Linked DNA regions of Pelodiscus sinensis. The main gene of each other region encodes a partner of the protein of the gene in region 2 in a complex. Links are inferred from orthologs where the notes say so. Each region holds a gene or a part of one and is shown on either strand. Other genes may lie near its edges.

Region 1 (7,447 bases), on a different chromosome or scaffold from region 2:
TCCATGCCAGTGTAGATGCTCTCTTGCGCAAGAAAGCTCTGATGGCCATTTTAACCATAGAGTTTTCTTGCGCAAGAAATTCATGTTGCCTGTCTACACTGGCCTCTTGCGCAAGAACAGTTGCGCAAAAGGGCTTATTCCTGAGTGGGAGCATCAGAGTTCTGGCGCAAGAAGCCCTGATTTCATACATTAGAACGTCAGTTTACTTGAGCAAGAACACGCGTACAGTGTAGACAGGTAGCAAGTTTTTGCATAAGAGCGGCCACTTTTGCGCAAGATCGCGCCAGTGTAGACACAGCCTCAATGTTTAAGATGCCATAGAACTCCTCATTGATTCTGCAGATACAGACTTAATATGGCCTCCCTCTGATACTTGTTAATATAGATGATAAAAGCTATGTAATTATTACTGACTTGTCTTTTTTGCTTGCCTAATATTCTGAAGATTTTCTTCTATCATCTACCACCAGTGATGCCTGTCTCAACTATATAACATGCACTTAATCACTTTAACTTACTCAAAGTTTTTTCATCAAGGACTCATTTTAACTCACTCAGTCCCTACACATTGGTGTCATTATTCTGTTGGCTATAATGTATGCATACATGCTATACAAGGCTTAAAATATATGCATTAATGTATAATAATTTGTTTCCCTCTAGTTTACTATATCAGGTTCCCTCATTCCAAATCAGCTTTTAAATAAAAGGAGAAATTGTTACACACCCACATTTTAATAGTAGTTGTTCTTTCCCCCCCATTTTGGGTGATATTTTTATGAATATTATGTGCTTTGAACATCTCTAGTTCATTACCCTCTGTGGTCTGGATGACCATTTATCATGGGCATGGCCAACTTTCCCACAGTCCCATAAAGTTTGTTTACAGCCACAAGACCTGGCTCTCAGTGTTCTGTGCTATTATTTAGCTCTAATTTATCCCTAAATGGCTTGTAAGAGCCCAGTAAGAAGTGGAAGTGTTGATAATGCTGCTAGACAATACTGACCTCCCGTGGTTCAACAAATTCGCTGGTACAACACTGGTCAGGCACATTGTTGCTGCGTCTCTCAGAAGTCTCTGAAGCTGGCTCCCTGCATATACCTGCTACCATCTGCCCTTCCATGCTGCTGCCTCTAATACAGAGGCAGCAGCATTGGGGGGGGGGGCGGGGAGAGGAAGGAAGGAGGTGTGTGTGTGTGGGTGGGTGTGAGAGAGAGATCCACAGGAGAATGTGAACAGGGAGCCATCTTAAGACTGGGCAATGCCCATTTTGCTTGCAAGGTCTGATCAGGGGATGTTCTAAAAGCATGCTTAATTCCACACAAAATTGGCCAGTGGGGAGAAGAGGCAATGGCAGCAGGAACCATTAACCTAGTGGTTAAAAAAAAAAAAAACTTAAGAGCTGGAAACTGGTTCAACTCTTCCCCCGCCCTGCCCATGCCCTGCCCAAGAAAAGAAAGATTTCCCACCTCCTAGGTAATCAAGTGATCCATCTCCTTGAGACAACGAATATAGAAGCAGCCTGAAAAAATCCATCCAAGATGTGCCAGCTTGAGGGAGGGAAAAGCCTGCTCTTAAGTTTAAATCTAAAACCAAAACATACACATATTCAGTGGCAGTGGACAGCATGGCTGTGTCTAGACTGGCCAGTCGACTATCCAATAAGAACATAAGAACAGCCGTACTGGGTCAGACCAAAGGTCCTTCTAGCCCAGTATCCTGTCTGCCAACAGTGGCCAGCACCGGGTGAGGGTGGACCAAAGACAATAATCAAGCGATTTGTCTCCTGCCATCTCTCTCCAGCCTCTGACAAACAGAGGCCAAGGACACCATTTTATCTCCTGGCTAATAGCCTTTTATGGACCTAACCTCCATGAAATTATCTAGCTTCTCTTTATAACTTTTTTATTGTAGTCCTAGCCTTCATAGCCTCCTCTGGCAAGGAGTTCCACAGGTTGACTACACACTGTGTGAAGAACTTTCTTTTATTAGTTTTAAACCTGCTACCCATTAATTTCATTTGGTGTCCTCTAGTTCTTCTATTTAAGGAACTAATAAATAACTTTTCTTTATCGGCCCTCTCCACACCACTCATGATTTTATAGACCTCTATCATATCCCTCCTCAGTCTCCTCTTTTCTAAACTGAAAAGTCTCAGTCACTTTAACCTCTCCTCATATGGGACCCGTTCCAAACCCCTAATCATTTTAATAAGAATTTGCAAATGCTTATCGAATAGTCAACAGGCTAGTCGACTACTTGCTTCCTCCCCCCTTGCTGCCTTTATCAGAGAGGCAGCAAGGGGGGTGAAAAAAGAGGGGGTGCTTCAAATTGGCAGCACTGTATGAAGCCTCGGGTGAGGGGGGAGTTCCTAGCTGACCCCGGGCTCCATGTGATGCTGCCACTTTGAAATGCTGTGGGGAGCATGGGGCCAGTGGGGGACTGTTGGGAGTCCCCTGCTGGCCCCATGCTCCCTGCAGCACTTTTGCCTTTGAAGTGTAGCAACAGCCCTGGGGCTGGCTGTTGCTACACTTCAAAGGCGGAAGTATCCTTATTGACTAGCTGAATAGTCAATGCAAATTGCATTGACTATTCAACTAGCCAAATAATCGAAATTTTATATCTCTATATTTAAAGGGCTAGCAACTCCTGAAACTAGGGATGTTAAATTTTTTTTAATCAAGTAGTTGATGGAAGATTAATCAGAAAGGAGGGTGCTGGCTATCCAGCTAAGCCTCTCCCTTTGAAATGTACCAGAATGGCCAGGGCTCCGGAACATTTCAAAGGGAGAGGTGCAGCAGTAGGAACATCTTTGCCCCCCACGGAGACAGTGCACTGGCTCCTACTCCCCCCACCTTGCTGCCTCTCTTTGATAGAGGCAGCAAGTGTGTGTGTGTGGGGGGGAAGGGGGGACAGAAAGATGATGTGTAGACGACTAGTCACTTTAACTTACATCCCTACTAGGGACAGTGGAGTGTGTGAAGTCTCCTCACCCGCCAGTGGCACATGGCGCTGAACAAGCTGGTGGTTCTCTAAGCACTGTATGCCCCTGGCGGTGGGGCGGAGGGGCTAAGACTTCACATGCTCCTTCAACCCCAGGTCAATCAGGCTGGTGAAGTACCCTGGCACCACCCCTTCCAGGGCAGCCTGTGACCACTTCAGAAATCCCCAAATGTCCCCTATTTCAAAAGTTACTGCCCACTTAGTTTAGATACTGTATTTACATCTGATTTCATAGAATTCCTTTATCTTTCAGTCGAAGCATATACGAGACAAAAATATGTCTATGAAACACACCCTTTTTACACAAGGATCTTCCCGGTGTTCCTTCTGATTTTTCCTATCTGGAATAATTTCTTATGTGCATCACCAGTAGAAACAAAACACCTAGCTCTGCCAATCAACTGGGCAGCATCTAAATCTGAGTGGCCACACAAGTGCACAGCTTACAGAGCACACTGATCTGGAGGGCTGTCTACTCATGTGGTATTTGGCTGTGGCTGAGATTTACGTTAAAACCCCCCAGCTCTTTAACACCCTTCCCATGTCTAGCTCAGGAACCAGAAAGCAGATACAGGAGCCTTAACTTCATTAAGGAAAACAGACTCGTGATTTTTAAGCCAATCTCACGACTGTGGTGCCCCCCCCCCGCGGGTTAGCAGCCCCCCTTTCCTGCTCTCTCCCGCCGAGGAAGACGGCTCCCTGGGACTGGTCGCCGCCCTAGGAGAGGCCCCTGTTGGACCAGGGAGGGGGGCGCGGGGCAAAGGGAGCCCACCCCCAAGCGTCCCCCCGCATCGCGCGGTGCCTGAGCGCCGCTCTCCCGGCTGCAGCGGGCTGCTGTAAAGGCGGCGGCGCGCACGAAGCGGGCAGTGGGGCGGGGAATGCTGCAGCCGGCAAGGGCGGCGCCGAAGCCCAGCCCCTGTCGCTCCTCTGCAGCGTGCAGCAGCCGCACCACAGCCCCTCCCTGCCGCCAGCGGCACGTTCCGCCGCCGCCGCCCTTTTATAGGCAGAGAATTGTGCTCGCCCCCCTCCCCCATTCCGTCGCCTGCGGGCCGCGCGCAGCGACCGTTACAGCCAAAGGGGGCGCACGCGACGGCTGAAACGTTACCTGAGAACTCCCGCTCCCCCTCCCCAGTCTCGTGCGTGACAGCGGCACGAGACTTCCCCTTCCCCCAGCAGCGGGCGGCTACTCACCTTCCCGCAGCCAGACGCCTCAGACTCCAAAATGGCGGCCCGCCCCAACCTAACCCAATCCTAGCCCGGGAGTCCCCAGCCCGATCCATGACTCGGCGCTCCGAAGCCTCGCCTAGGCGCTAGGATCGATTGTCGAGAAAGTGATCCCGCACGGCTTCCATTCCACTGCCCAGGGAGCGGAAAAAATACCACCCTGTACTGAAGCGCAGAAGGGGAGAAACGCATTCCCCCCGCCCGCCCCCATCTCCCCCCCCCCGGTGGTTGCGTCCGTGACATCATCATCATGGCAACAACAGCTGGAGCTGAGGAGCCGCCGCCGCCAAGGCATCCGCGCTGCCGAGGGAAGGGGCTGCTGTGCCCATGAGGCGCTCGCGGCCGGCCAGGCTCTAGAGCCAGCTTGGGCTGCTCCGTGCGCGCGTGTGTCCGTGTGCGCGCGGGCCGGCGGGGAGGGGGCTGCGCGCGCGGCGGTGGCGGCGGCGGGGGAGCCGTGTGGGCTCCGCGCTCGCTCAGTGCGTGGGTCGCTGTGGACGGCGGCGAACATGTTCTCAGTGAGGCTCGTGACCGCCGACTACTATATGGGCAGCCCGCTGCCCGGCCTGGACCCCGGCCAGTCCCGCTTCAGAGAGGCCCCGGCCAAGAAGGTGCCTGTGGTGAGAGTCTTCGGCGCCACCCCGGCAGGTAAGGGACGCTCGCCGCCTCTGCGGGGCCCCGCGGGCGCTAGGCCCGGGGACCAGCCCGCCACAGGGCTCGCTTTGTGATTCAGCCGCGGCGTGCGCCTCACCTGCCGCCGTCGCCGGCCTCGCCCCTCCCCCCACCCCCGCCCGGACCTCGCGGGAGCTGCGCCGGGTGATACCTGTCTGGAGCCGGCGGGGACCGCAGGGTCACCGTAGCCCGCGGCGCCTATGCGGCTCCCTCCAGGCTCCCGGAGCGGGGGCGGGGGGCGCTAAGAGCAGGATCTCGGGGTCTGCAGGTGCGAGGATGAGCAGGGAGGCTGGTGCCCAGGGGGAGCTGGAAATCGTTGCGTTCGCGCCGCTCACAGGGGAAGCTGCTCCCACACAGGCTCGCGGTGCGTGAATCACAACTAAGCACAGCTGTAAAAACACAGTGGGGTCTGCTCTGCTCCGGATAGAGATTTGTACGTAGCCCAGGCCGCCGTGCGGTGCTGGGGTTTGTGTCTTTAAAGAAAGAGACGCAGTTTTGGTGTGTGAATGGATAGGAGAAGAAAAATCATGCGTATCTTTGAGGAGGTGAATAGTGAATTAATTTATCAATGCTGTATCTTTAAAGTGCTCCCTAATACAGAGTCCCATACGTGAGACTTCTGCAACACTTGTGAAGTGGCTCTTTTTATGTCGCTGTTACGCTAGTATATTGTAAATTGCTCAGACCAATAGGCAATTGTGCTGCACTGCAGAAGGGAACGGCGTAACAACTAGCCACATGTTGGCCTCTGCGACTTCCTAATGCTACATCACATTCATTCTTTTTTGGTATTCAGCTATACTTATCATCACTGTATTTAATAGCCTGACAATTCCCAAGTACATCCTGCAAATAACATTCTCCTTACCCATATATTTTTTTTAAATATGGGTTCTCTTTATTGCAAGTTTTCAGTCCACAGTCATGATGAAAAAGGGTCTCCTGTCCATCAGTTGTTACAAACATTAGAGTATCTGTTCTCTAACTGTGGGTTGGGACCCCAAAGGTGGGTATTGACTCCATTTTAATGGGGTTGCTGGGGTTAGTTTAGACTTGCTGGTGCATGGGGTCAAAGTTGAAGCCTGAATCCCAGGACTGGTGCCAAAGTCGAAGGGCCTCAGCCTTAGGCAAAAGGGCTCAGGTTATAGGTCCTCGCCTGGGGCAGAAGGTCTCCACCTTCAGCTTTAGCTCCCCACCCAAAACAGTGGGGCTTGGGCTTTGCCTTTGCCTTCCCCCTCCAAGGCAGCTGGATTCAGTTTTCCATCTCCCCTCCTGGGGTTATATAATAATTTTTGTTGTCAGAATGGGATTGCAGTGGAATGGAGTTTCAGAACCCCTATTTTAGAGAATATTGAAATAGATGTTTGTGTTGTATGATGCTGATCTTGGAAATTAATGCATTTATGCGTTTTACAGATTTGTGTGCTATAGGCAGAGTTTTTAATGTACACTTTTATCATTAGGGAGGGGAGAAACTGCAGTAAAAGTGTATTTATTAGGCGTCTCCTACTACTAGTAGGCTGTGTCTACATTGGCAAGATTTTGCGCAAAATCTTGCCGCCTGTCTACACTGGCCGCGAGTATTTGCGCAAGAACACTGATCTTTTACTGTATGAAATCAGTGCTTCTTGCGCAAATACTCTGACGCTCCCGCTCAGGGATAAGTCCTCTTGCGCAAGTGTTCTTGCGCAAGAGGCCAGTGTAGACAGGTAACACCAATTTCTTACGCAAGAAAGCCCGATGGCTAAAATGGCCATCGGAGCTTTCTTCCACAAGAGAGTTTCTATACTGGCACAGATGTGTTTGTGCAAAAGCAAATCTTTTGCGCAAAGGCACATGCCAGTATAGACACTCTCTTGCGCAAATACTTTTAACGGGAAAAACTTTTCCGTTAAAAGTATTTGTGCAAAATCATGCCAGTGTAGATGCAACCGTATAATATAGACATTTTTATTCATATTTGAAACTCCAGTGTTCTCTTTTCTGAATCATCTTCAGGTTCAGAGGATGGTAAGGTAATTGCACCAGTTTGCATCTGCTTCATCTAAAACTCAAAACTATCAAGTAGATAGCATATTATACAGGATTTAAATCCATACTAACTAGTTAAACTATAGGTTTAATTGGTTAACTGCCTACAGTGTGGTGGGCCTGGCAGGGGCTTCTCTGGCCAGGCTGGGCTGAAGCCGTATCTCCCCCCTGCCCCCATGGTATCCTGCAGGCAGGGGCTGCTTTGGCTGGGCCTGGCCTCTTGTTAATTCTTTACCCCAGTAAGCATGCTGGTAAAGCTGTGCTTACTCAGTAACCAATTAAACCTTTACATCCTCAGTAGATAGGTTAATGCGCAAAACAGCTGATATAATATAGCAACACCTCTTCGGTTGTAATATGCTTTTTGCATACATTCAGTGCTGCTTATTTTTTGCCATCATAAAATCTGTTAAATACCATAAATTTCAATAGTTTTCAAATGACATTTGATAGAGGGAATAGTATTTGAGAAAATAATTATGTAATCCTATGAGTAATTGTTTCATTATTCATAAATTT
Region 2 (7,561 bases):
GACTAATAACATTGGGGCTTTCCAGCTTAGAAAAGAGGAGACTAAGGGGGGGGAGATATGATAGAGGGCTGTAAAATCATGATTGTTGCGGAAAAAGCAAAGAAGGAAAAGTTATTTACTTGTTCCCACAACACAAGAACTAGGGGTCACCCAAAGAAATGAATAGGTAGCAGGTTTAAAAGGAGGTATTTCTTCGCGCAGCACAGTCAATCTGCGGGACTCCTTGCCAGAGGATTTTATGAAGACCAGGACTTTAACAGGATTTTTTAAATAAAGAGCTAAATTCATGGAGGACAGATTCACCAATGGCTGTTAGCCAGGCTGGGCAGGGAGGGTGACCCTGGCCTCGGTTTATCAGAAGCTGGGAATGGGTGACAGGAGAGGGCTCACTTAGCGATTCCCTGTTCTGTCCCCTCCCTGTGGAGCCCCTGGCATTGGCCACTGTCAGAAGACAGGACGCTGGGCGAGATGGATCACTGATATGACCTGGTGAGGCCGCTCTTGGCTGCGTCTAGATTGGCATGATTTTCCGGAAATGCTTTTAACTGAAAAGTTTTCCATTAAAAGCATTTTCAGAACAGAGCGTCTAGATTGGCACAGACGCTTTTCCACAAAAGCACTTTTTGCGGAAAAGCGTCCGTGGCCAATCTAGACGCGCTTTTCCGCAAAAAAGCCCCAATCGCCATTTTCGCGACCGGGGCTTTTTTGCGCAAAACAAATCTGAGCTGTCTACACTGGCCCCTTTGCGCAAAGCTTTGCACAAAAGGGACTTTTGCCTGATCGGGAGCAGAATAGTATTTCCGCAAGCACTGATTTCTTACATGAGATCGTCAATGCTTTTGCGGAAATTCAAGCGGCCAGTGTAGACAGCTGGCAAGTTTTTCCGGAAAAGTGGCTGATTTTCCGGAAAAACTGGCCAGTCTAGACACAGCCTTTATGTTTTTATGCATGTTATGAGACTCTTTAAAAACCAATTAGTCTTGGCTGTATTCTGGTCCTTTGGTTTGGTCCTTCCATTTCTCATGTTCTCCTAGCTATGACAGAGTCACCCTTGGGCCAGAACCTTCCGAAAAGGAGCCAGGTATTTATCTTTAGCCAGTGAGTTCTGGCATCTGCAGCTCTTGCCTCAAATCACGCAATAAGGAAGGTACCTGCCAGTTACACTATTGCACAACGTTTCATGGCCACGCTCCACAGCAGTTACACGTTCAGAAGGAAACCAATTCAGGTACAGTAATTCCATCAATAAACAGCAATTCAGAGACCAAGAGCAAGATGACTCCTTCAACCCGCAGTCCTCAACCCTATGTAGCCTCTCGCTCACACGTCTCATTCTCTGCTGGAGACAAACTCAGCGACATTCCTTCCTGGCCACGGAGTGCCCATCTCAGACTCTTAATGCTACCTGAATGAAACTTTTGTTTCCGAAACACATGCCTCCTTTTCTCTGAGCCCAATGGAAGGTTTTCCAAGCCAGAGTCACTGCTTGGCAATGGTAGATGTTTTCCCACCCAGACATTGTAGACATGCTAACCCTTTGGAGCAAGTCCCTAACCTGACAGGAGCAGGGCTGGAATTCAGGGCAGACAAAGTGTTACCTAGGAACTAACAAAATGTCCTGAGGCTTCAGTTACTAGGAATATTGTTTTTTGTTTTGCTTAGAAACAGTTCTTTGTATCCTTCAAAAATCAAAGACACAGCACATGGCTTCTCAGCAGACACACCAGTTTCCCCCTGCAACCTGGCAAGTGAAATACAATACTGAGATTCACTCTCAGTTGGTTTCACTCATTGTCCAAAAGCAGGTTCCAGGGTAGGCAGTGAAGGGCATGGATCAGTGTGCACGCTCTGTGCAAACACTCCCCATCATACCTGGCCAAAGCCAGGGAAACTAGTGATCCAACCAGTGGTCCAGATTTGGAAAGGAGCCTGACCACATGCCGTCGGACGCACGTTGCGCATATGTTAAGAAGGGCAGGCAGATACTGGTCTGAGAATGTACTCCTCGCCTAGGAGGGAAGGAACTCACCCCATTTCTGCCGGGCTCTCTCCAGCAGGAGGGGTCTCATCTGAACGAGGCGAGTGGCGTAGATGTGGGCATACTGGCGATTAAAGCTGCGCTCCGCCAGCCGGAAGTGCTGGGAGCAGTTCGCGTAGGTGGACACGGGCACTCTGGCGAACGTGGAGGCCTCCGTGGACGGCGGCGCCAGCAGGCTCTGTGCAGTGGGAGCCGCCCGCTCCGAGAACATGGCTGGCGCCCGCGGGGCTCCCGGCAGGGCCAACAACTCTCCACCTGCCAAGAGGACACGGGCCTGTTACTATGGGCCCCCCCGCTAGCTGCCCCCCCACCTGCTCCATGGCTACTAGCGCCACACTGCCCCTTCCAGCGCCCCCCCCGGGGACACGTGCCCCTTCCAGCGCCCCCCCCTCCGGGGACACGTGCCCCTTCCAGCGCCCCCCCCCCGGGGACACGTGCCCCTTCCAGCGCCCCCCCCCGGGGACACGTGCCCCTTCCAGCGCCCCCCCCGGGGACACGTGCCCCTTCCAGCGCACCCCCCCCCGGGGACACGTGCCCCTTCCAGCGCCCCCCCCCCGGGGACACGTGCCCCTTCCAGCGCCCCCCCCCCCCCGGGGACACGTGCCCCTTCCAGCGCCCCCCCCCGGGGACACGTGTCCCTTCCAGCGCCCCCCCCCGGGGACACGTGCCCCTTCCAGCGCCCCCCCCCGGGACACGTGCCCCTTCCAGCGCCCCCCCCCGGGGACACGTGCCCCTTCCAGCGCCCACGATTCCCCACCCCCTGGGGGACACGTGACGCCCCGGCCGCCCCGAGTTTCTGGGGCGCTGACGAACCTGCCGGAGCCCCCCCAAGTCCCAGCCGGGGTCAGGGGTCAGCCGTAGGAGGTCAGAGGTCACAGTCGGCGCCCAGCAGCAGTTCCCGCCACAGAAAAGGCGCCAATGCCGTAAACCGGAAACAGAGAGGCCGAGCGGAACTGACGTAGGAGGGCGCTTGGCGTCTCCCGGGAAACCAGCAACGCCGCTAGGGGGCGGGGCTCCGGGCTGCGCAGGTGGGGCCATGGGGGGCGGTGCTGGGGGAACCGGGCTCCGCCCCCTGCCCCACACGGCTCCGCCCCCTAGCCCCGCCCCCTCCTCCCCTCCCGCTACTGCCCCCCAACCGGGACCTGCCCCCCCCCGTTCCTGGCCCCGCTACTGCCCCCCAACCGGGACCTGCCCCCCCCCGTTCCTGGCCCCGCTACTGCCCCCCAACCGGGACCTGCCCCCCCCCGTTCCTGGCCCCGCTACTGCCCCCCAACCGGGACCTGCCCCCCCCTGTTCCTGGCCCTGCTACTGCCCCCCAACCGGGACCTGCCCCCCCCTGTTCCTGGCCCCGCTACTGCCCCCCAACCGGGACCTTCCCCCCTCCCCGTTCCTGGCCCCGCTACTGCCCCCCAACCGGGACCTGCCCCCCCCCCCCCCGTTCCTGGCCCCGCTACTGCCCCCCAACCGGGACCTGCCCCCCCCCTGTTCCTGGCCCCGCTACTGCCCCCCAACCGGGACCTGCCCCCCCCCTGTTCCTGGCCCCGCTACTGCCCCCCAACCGGGACCTTCCCCCCCTCCCCGTTCCTAGCCCCGCTACAGCGCCGTGGGGCTGGGAGATTTCCTCGCACTGCTGAGGTGGGGGCGGGGTTGGGGGAGTGTGAATTTCCAGTGCTGACGTGTACAGAGCTCGCAGCTGCTCTCAGCCACTTCCTACCGAGAAGAAACACGAGTTTCCTGCCCACAGGGAGGAGCTGTCGGCAGGTGTGAAAAGCATCACTTGCTGCCCCCGCTCTGCTGTCTGGGGGGAAGCCTTCCTCCTGCAGACAGTACCCACCGAGCCATACGCCAGCTCGGGGTCTCACCCGCCAGGGGAAGGAAGACAAGTGTTAGTGCAAAGGAGACGTGTGAGCCAGGGCTGAGCGGGGACACACCCCGCGGATTCGAAGGCCCTAAGCCCCATCTGTAAAGGAGGGTCAAAGAGCTCTGGGTAGCCCATCTCCACTGCTGGGAGGTTCTGTGCTGGGCATTCCCCGGGGAGCTCCTGAGCTGCCCGGAGCAGCAGACGCTGTAGGCTGGTGCAGACTGAGTTTGAGAAGGGAGTTGGTGGATTGGAGCAGGGGCAGAGAAAAGCCATGTGTGATGGTGCATTGGGGTTCCCCCACCTCCTGCACCCCCGTAGTGGCATGAACAGACTCCACCAGCCAGTCGAATAGAGGGTGTTTATTGCTTCTCCAGAGTACAGCACAGCACAGATGTTATCTGGTTCCAGGCAGGCCTAGGATGCCTCAGCCCCCCTTGAGATGGGGGAGACTGGGCCCCTAAATCCCAGCCTCTTCCCTAGGCTGTCTCCTCCATGATCCCAGACAGCAACTACCTGACTCTCCTCCAGTCCTGCCCCCCAGCCAGGGGTGACCTCACCCTCCTTTCCCTTGTTCCGCTCCCTGGGAGGTAACTGGTCGGACAGGTTGGGAGCCCCTTGCATAATGACTCATCCCCTGCCCTGCTGGGCCGTGCTGCAGCCAGCAGCCAGTGGGGGTCACCCACAGCCCACCACCCAGCATAGCAACCAGCAAGGTACCCACACTATGTCACACTGTGAGCATGGCTCAAGGATTGGCCCTTGTCTACACCAGCCCTTGGTGGGTAAAAGTTTTGTCGGTCGGGGTGAGTTTTGCCAAACAAAGCGCCGGAGCGGGGAACGCTCTGTCTGGGGGAGACGATCTCCCACCTACGCAGTGACGGCTTGAATTATGCCCAGAGCGTCCAGAAGCACAGCACAGCACAGCCGTACTATGGTGAGGCCTGTAGATGCAGCCTTAGAAATCCTGCCTTAGAGCCAGAGGCTCAGGGAGCTCCATCTGTTTAGCTTATAATAATAATGGAGATTGTCTATCTCCTAGAGCTGGAAGGGACCTTGGAAGGTCATCAAGTCCAGTCCCCTGCCTTCACAGCAGGACCAAGTACCATCCCTGATACATTTTTGCCCTAAATGGTTAAACTCACAACTCTGGGTTTAGCAAGCCACTGCTCAAGCCACTGAGCTAGCCCTCCCCCCATGCAGTTATCAAAGGGTGGGGCAGGGCAGGAAGGGGCATGTGCCCCCAGTGCCGTGGGAGGGGAGAGGCAAGGGGCCAGTAGCTAGCGGGCAGAGCTGGACAGTTCGTCCAACAGTCCTAGGCCCCATGCGCAGGGAACTAGTGAGGGACCTGGCCCCAGAGCAGGGACTGGCCCCACCCCTACTCACCTGCGGTGGCAGAAAGCAGGGTGATGTGGCTGGGAGACAGCGGAGGGGGTTGGGCCCGGGTAGTGCAGGTTGGGGGGCGATTTCTGCTGCAGGCCCCTTGAAAGACTACTGGCTGCATCCCTCAAGGAAGGGGACTTGGGGGAAAGGTGTAGTGGGGACCAGGGGGCGCAGAGTAAGGGTGAGAAGAGGCAGGGACGGGGTGGAGGAGGGGCAGAGCAGGGACAGGGGCTTGGGTGAAGAGGTGGAGTAGGGGGCAGCGGCAGGAAGAGGCGGGACCCTCGCCTGGGCTAAGGGTGGCGTGGGGAGGAGTCGCATGGGTCAGTCACATGACCAGTGTCCCCCAAATCCCTCCCCAGCAGTCATCACTGGGTCAAGGGGTGACTTGATCTGTCAATACCTACACAGGGTACAAATACAAAACCCAGGCGCTTTGGCTTAGCGGGGGCGGGTCTGGCACCACCCAAGGGTGGGAAGTTTCACAAACGCATACGGGGAATGAGGTTAACATTTTGACCAAAGAGTCACAAACCATCAGGCCTTGGAACCGGTGTCCTGTCTCAGGCGGGAGGCTGCCTGCTGACTAGCTCCCTGCTGGGTCCCGTCTCCTGTCAAATGGCCAGGAACTCGGCAGCGCTGGCGTTCAAAGTCACATCCCGTTACTTGGATAGAAAGATGATGTCTGTCTGTATCATCCCGTTACCTGCGCCCCCGTGACAAAGCCATGGCCAGCCATGGGAGCCTTGTTTGCGCCTTCTCGGTAAGGCTTGCCCACACACGCTCCCCTGCACCTCTCTCACGTGGGGGTGGGGGGCAGCCGACCGGACCCGACCCTCCCTGCCCAGAGCTCTCTGCCCTCCATGCCTGGCTGGGCCCCGGGCCAGCCCCTCCCCGGTGCTGCGTCTGCTCAGCTCCACATGTGAGGGGCATGCAGGGTCACAGGCTCCTCCCCCCCCATATCTGTGGGGGTTTGCAGCAGGACGTGGCCAGCAGCAGCCTTTCAGCCCTGCGTAGGAGGGAAGGGACGGGAACAGTTTCCAGCCACAGAGGGTGGGGGTGGGAGGCAGAAATGACTTGGCCCATGTGTTTGCACAGATCACCCCTCCACCCCAACACCTGGCTCCTCTCTGTGGCTAGAAGCAGCTTGTCCTTTCCCATAGAAAGGCAGCTGAGCTGACACCTCCAGGCAGCTGCTGGCCGCTAACAAACCCCGGTTTGAGGGGCACAAACACCTCCTCCCGTAGCACCCTAAAGAGCAGCAGTTACCAGGGCGCGAACCGCTGGTGAGTGGGAAGGTGACAGAGAAGGTGCAAATTGCTCTTACGTGCCCATTGGCTGGTTTTAAGTCGTTAGGATGCGGAAGGTCCTGTGCTTCATGGAACATGAACACTCGAAATCGCTATTTCCCCCCACCCCCTATCTGGTTTGGAGCGGGACGTTTCAAGCTCCGTGCACCTGGAGAAGTGGGTCGTACCCACCCAGGCTCACGATCCCAGCTGTGGGTTTGGTGAGTCTGTAAGGTGCTGCCCGACCGTTCGTTGGTTTTGAAGTTTTTCCTTTAAAACCAGGCTCTCTGGTGCTGTGCAAAGCAGCTCAGCTGGGAGGGGTGTGGGAAGCTCCCTGCCTAGCTGGGTGTGAAGCCAGGTCTCGGTGGCCCGGCTGGCTAGTGAGGAAGGAGGCACGCTCCCCGCCACTCCTGCTGGGCTGGACGCAGCGCGTCTACCTGAGCCTGGCTCTGCCGCAGGGGCTGCTCTCTGGGCTCCTCCGGGACCTACAGGCAGCTCAGTGCCCAGTGCCTCGCGTACCAGCTGGTCAAGCAGCGCACTTGGGGCGTGAGCAAGAGAAACAACTTTGTTGACCCCAGAAATGGCAGCTGCTCCTTTCGGAGCACAGCAGAGGAGACGCCCCGCTCAGGGACAGGGCTGGCGACAGACTTCGCTGAGCCGGGGGCGAGCTGGAGAGGGGCTCGGGTCCAGGCCCCTAAGAAGGGGCAGGGTTGAGGGGCTAGCCTCCCCCACCCAGCCCCCAGCACGCTGCATGGAGTTCCTGGGGCAATTTAAAGGCCCTTTTAAATTGCTGGGCCCTGGGGCAGCTGTTCCCCTTTGGCCTCCCCCGTTGGCATCCCAGAGTGGGGGTTCTGGAAGCCAGCCCCATTATCCCCCTGTCAGTGTCCCCCAGGCTGGGGCGGGAGCAGGCCCGTGTCTCTGGGAAGGGGGCCCTGGACGGGGAAAAAGCAGCTGAGGCTGGGGCCACAGGTGGGGGTGAGCATGAACCCAGCATGA

The links.
Region 1: POLD2 (region 2) and REV3L share a complex: the UniProt entries of both Homo sapiens proteins name them as parts of the tetrameric Pol-zeta complex. The link is inferred for Pelodiscus sinensis from reciprocal best matches to the Homo sapiens genes POLD2 and REV3L.

What each region holds. Positions count from the first base shown.
Region 1 is NC_134713.1:79,618,552-79,625,998, reverse strand, and holds the start of REV3L (DNA polymerase zeta catalytic subunit), read left to right. Parts: upstream 1-4,437; 5' UTR 4,438-4,734; coding exon 4,735-4,873; intron 4,874-7,447. UniProt on the Homo sapiens protein: Catalytic subunit of the DNA polymerase zeta complex, an error-prone polymerase specialized in translesion DNA synthesis (TLS). Lacks an intrinsic 3'-5' exonuclease activity and thus has no proofreading function.
Region 2 is NC_134738.1:4,461,610-4,469,170, forward strand, and holds the start of POLD2 (DNA polymerase delta subunit 2), read right to left. Parts: upstream 3,011-7,561; 5' UTR 2,852-3,010; intron 2,294-2,851; 5' UTR 2,250-2,293; coding exon 2,030-2,249; intron 1-2,029. UniProt on the Homo sapiens protein: Accessory component of both the DNA polymerase delta complex and the DNA polymerase zeta complex.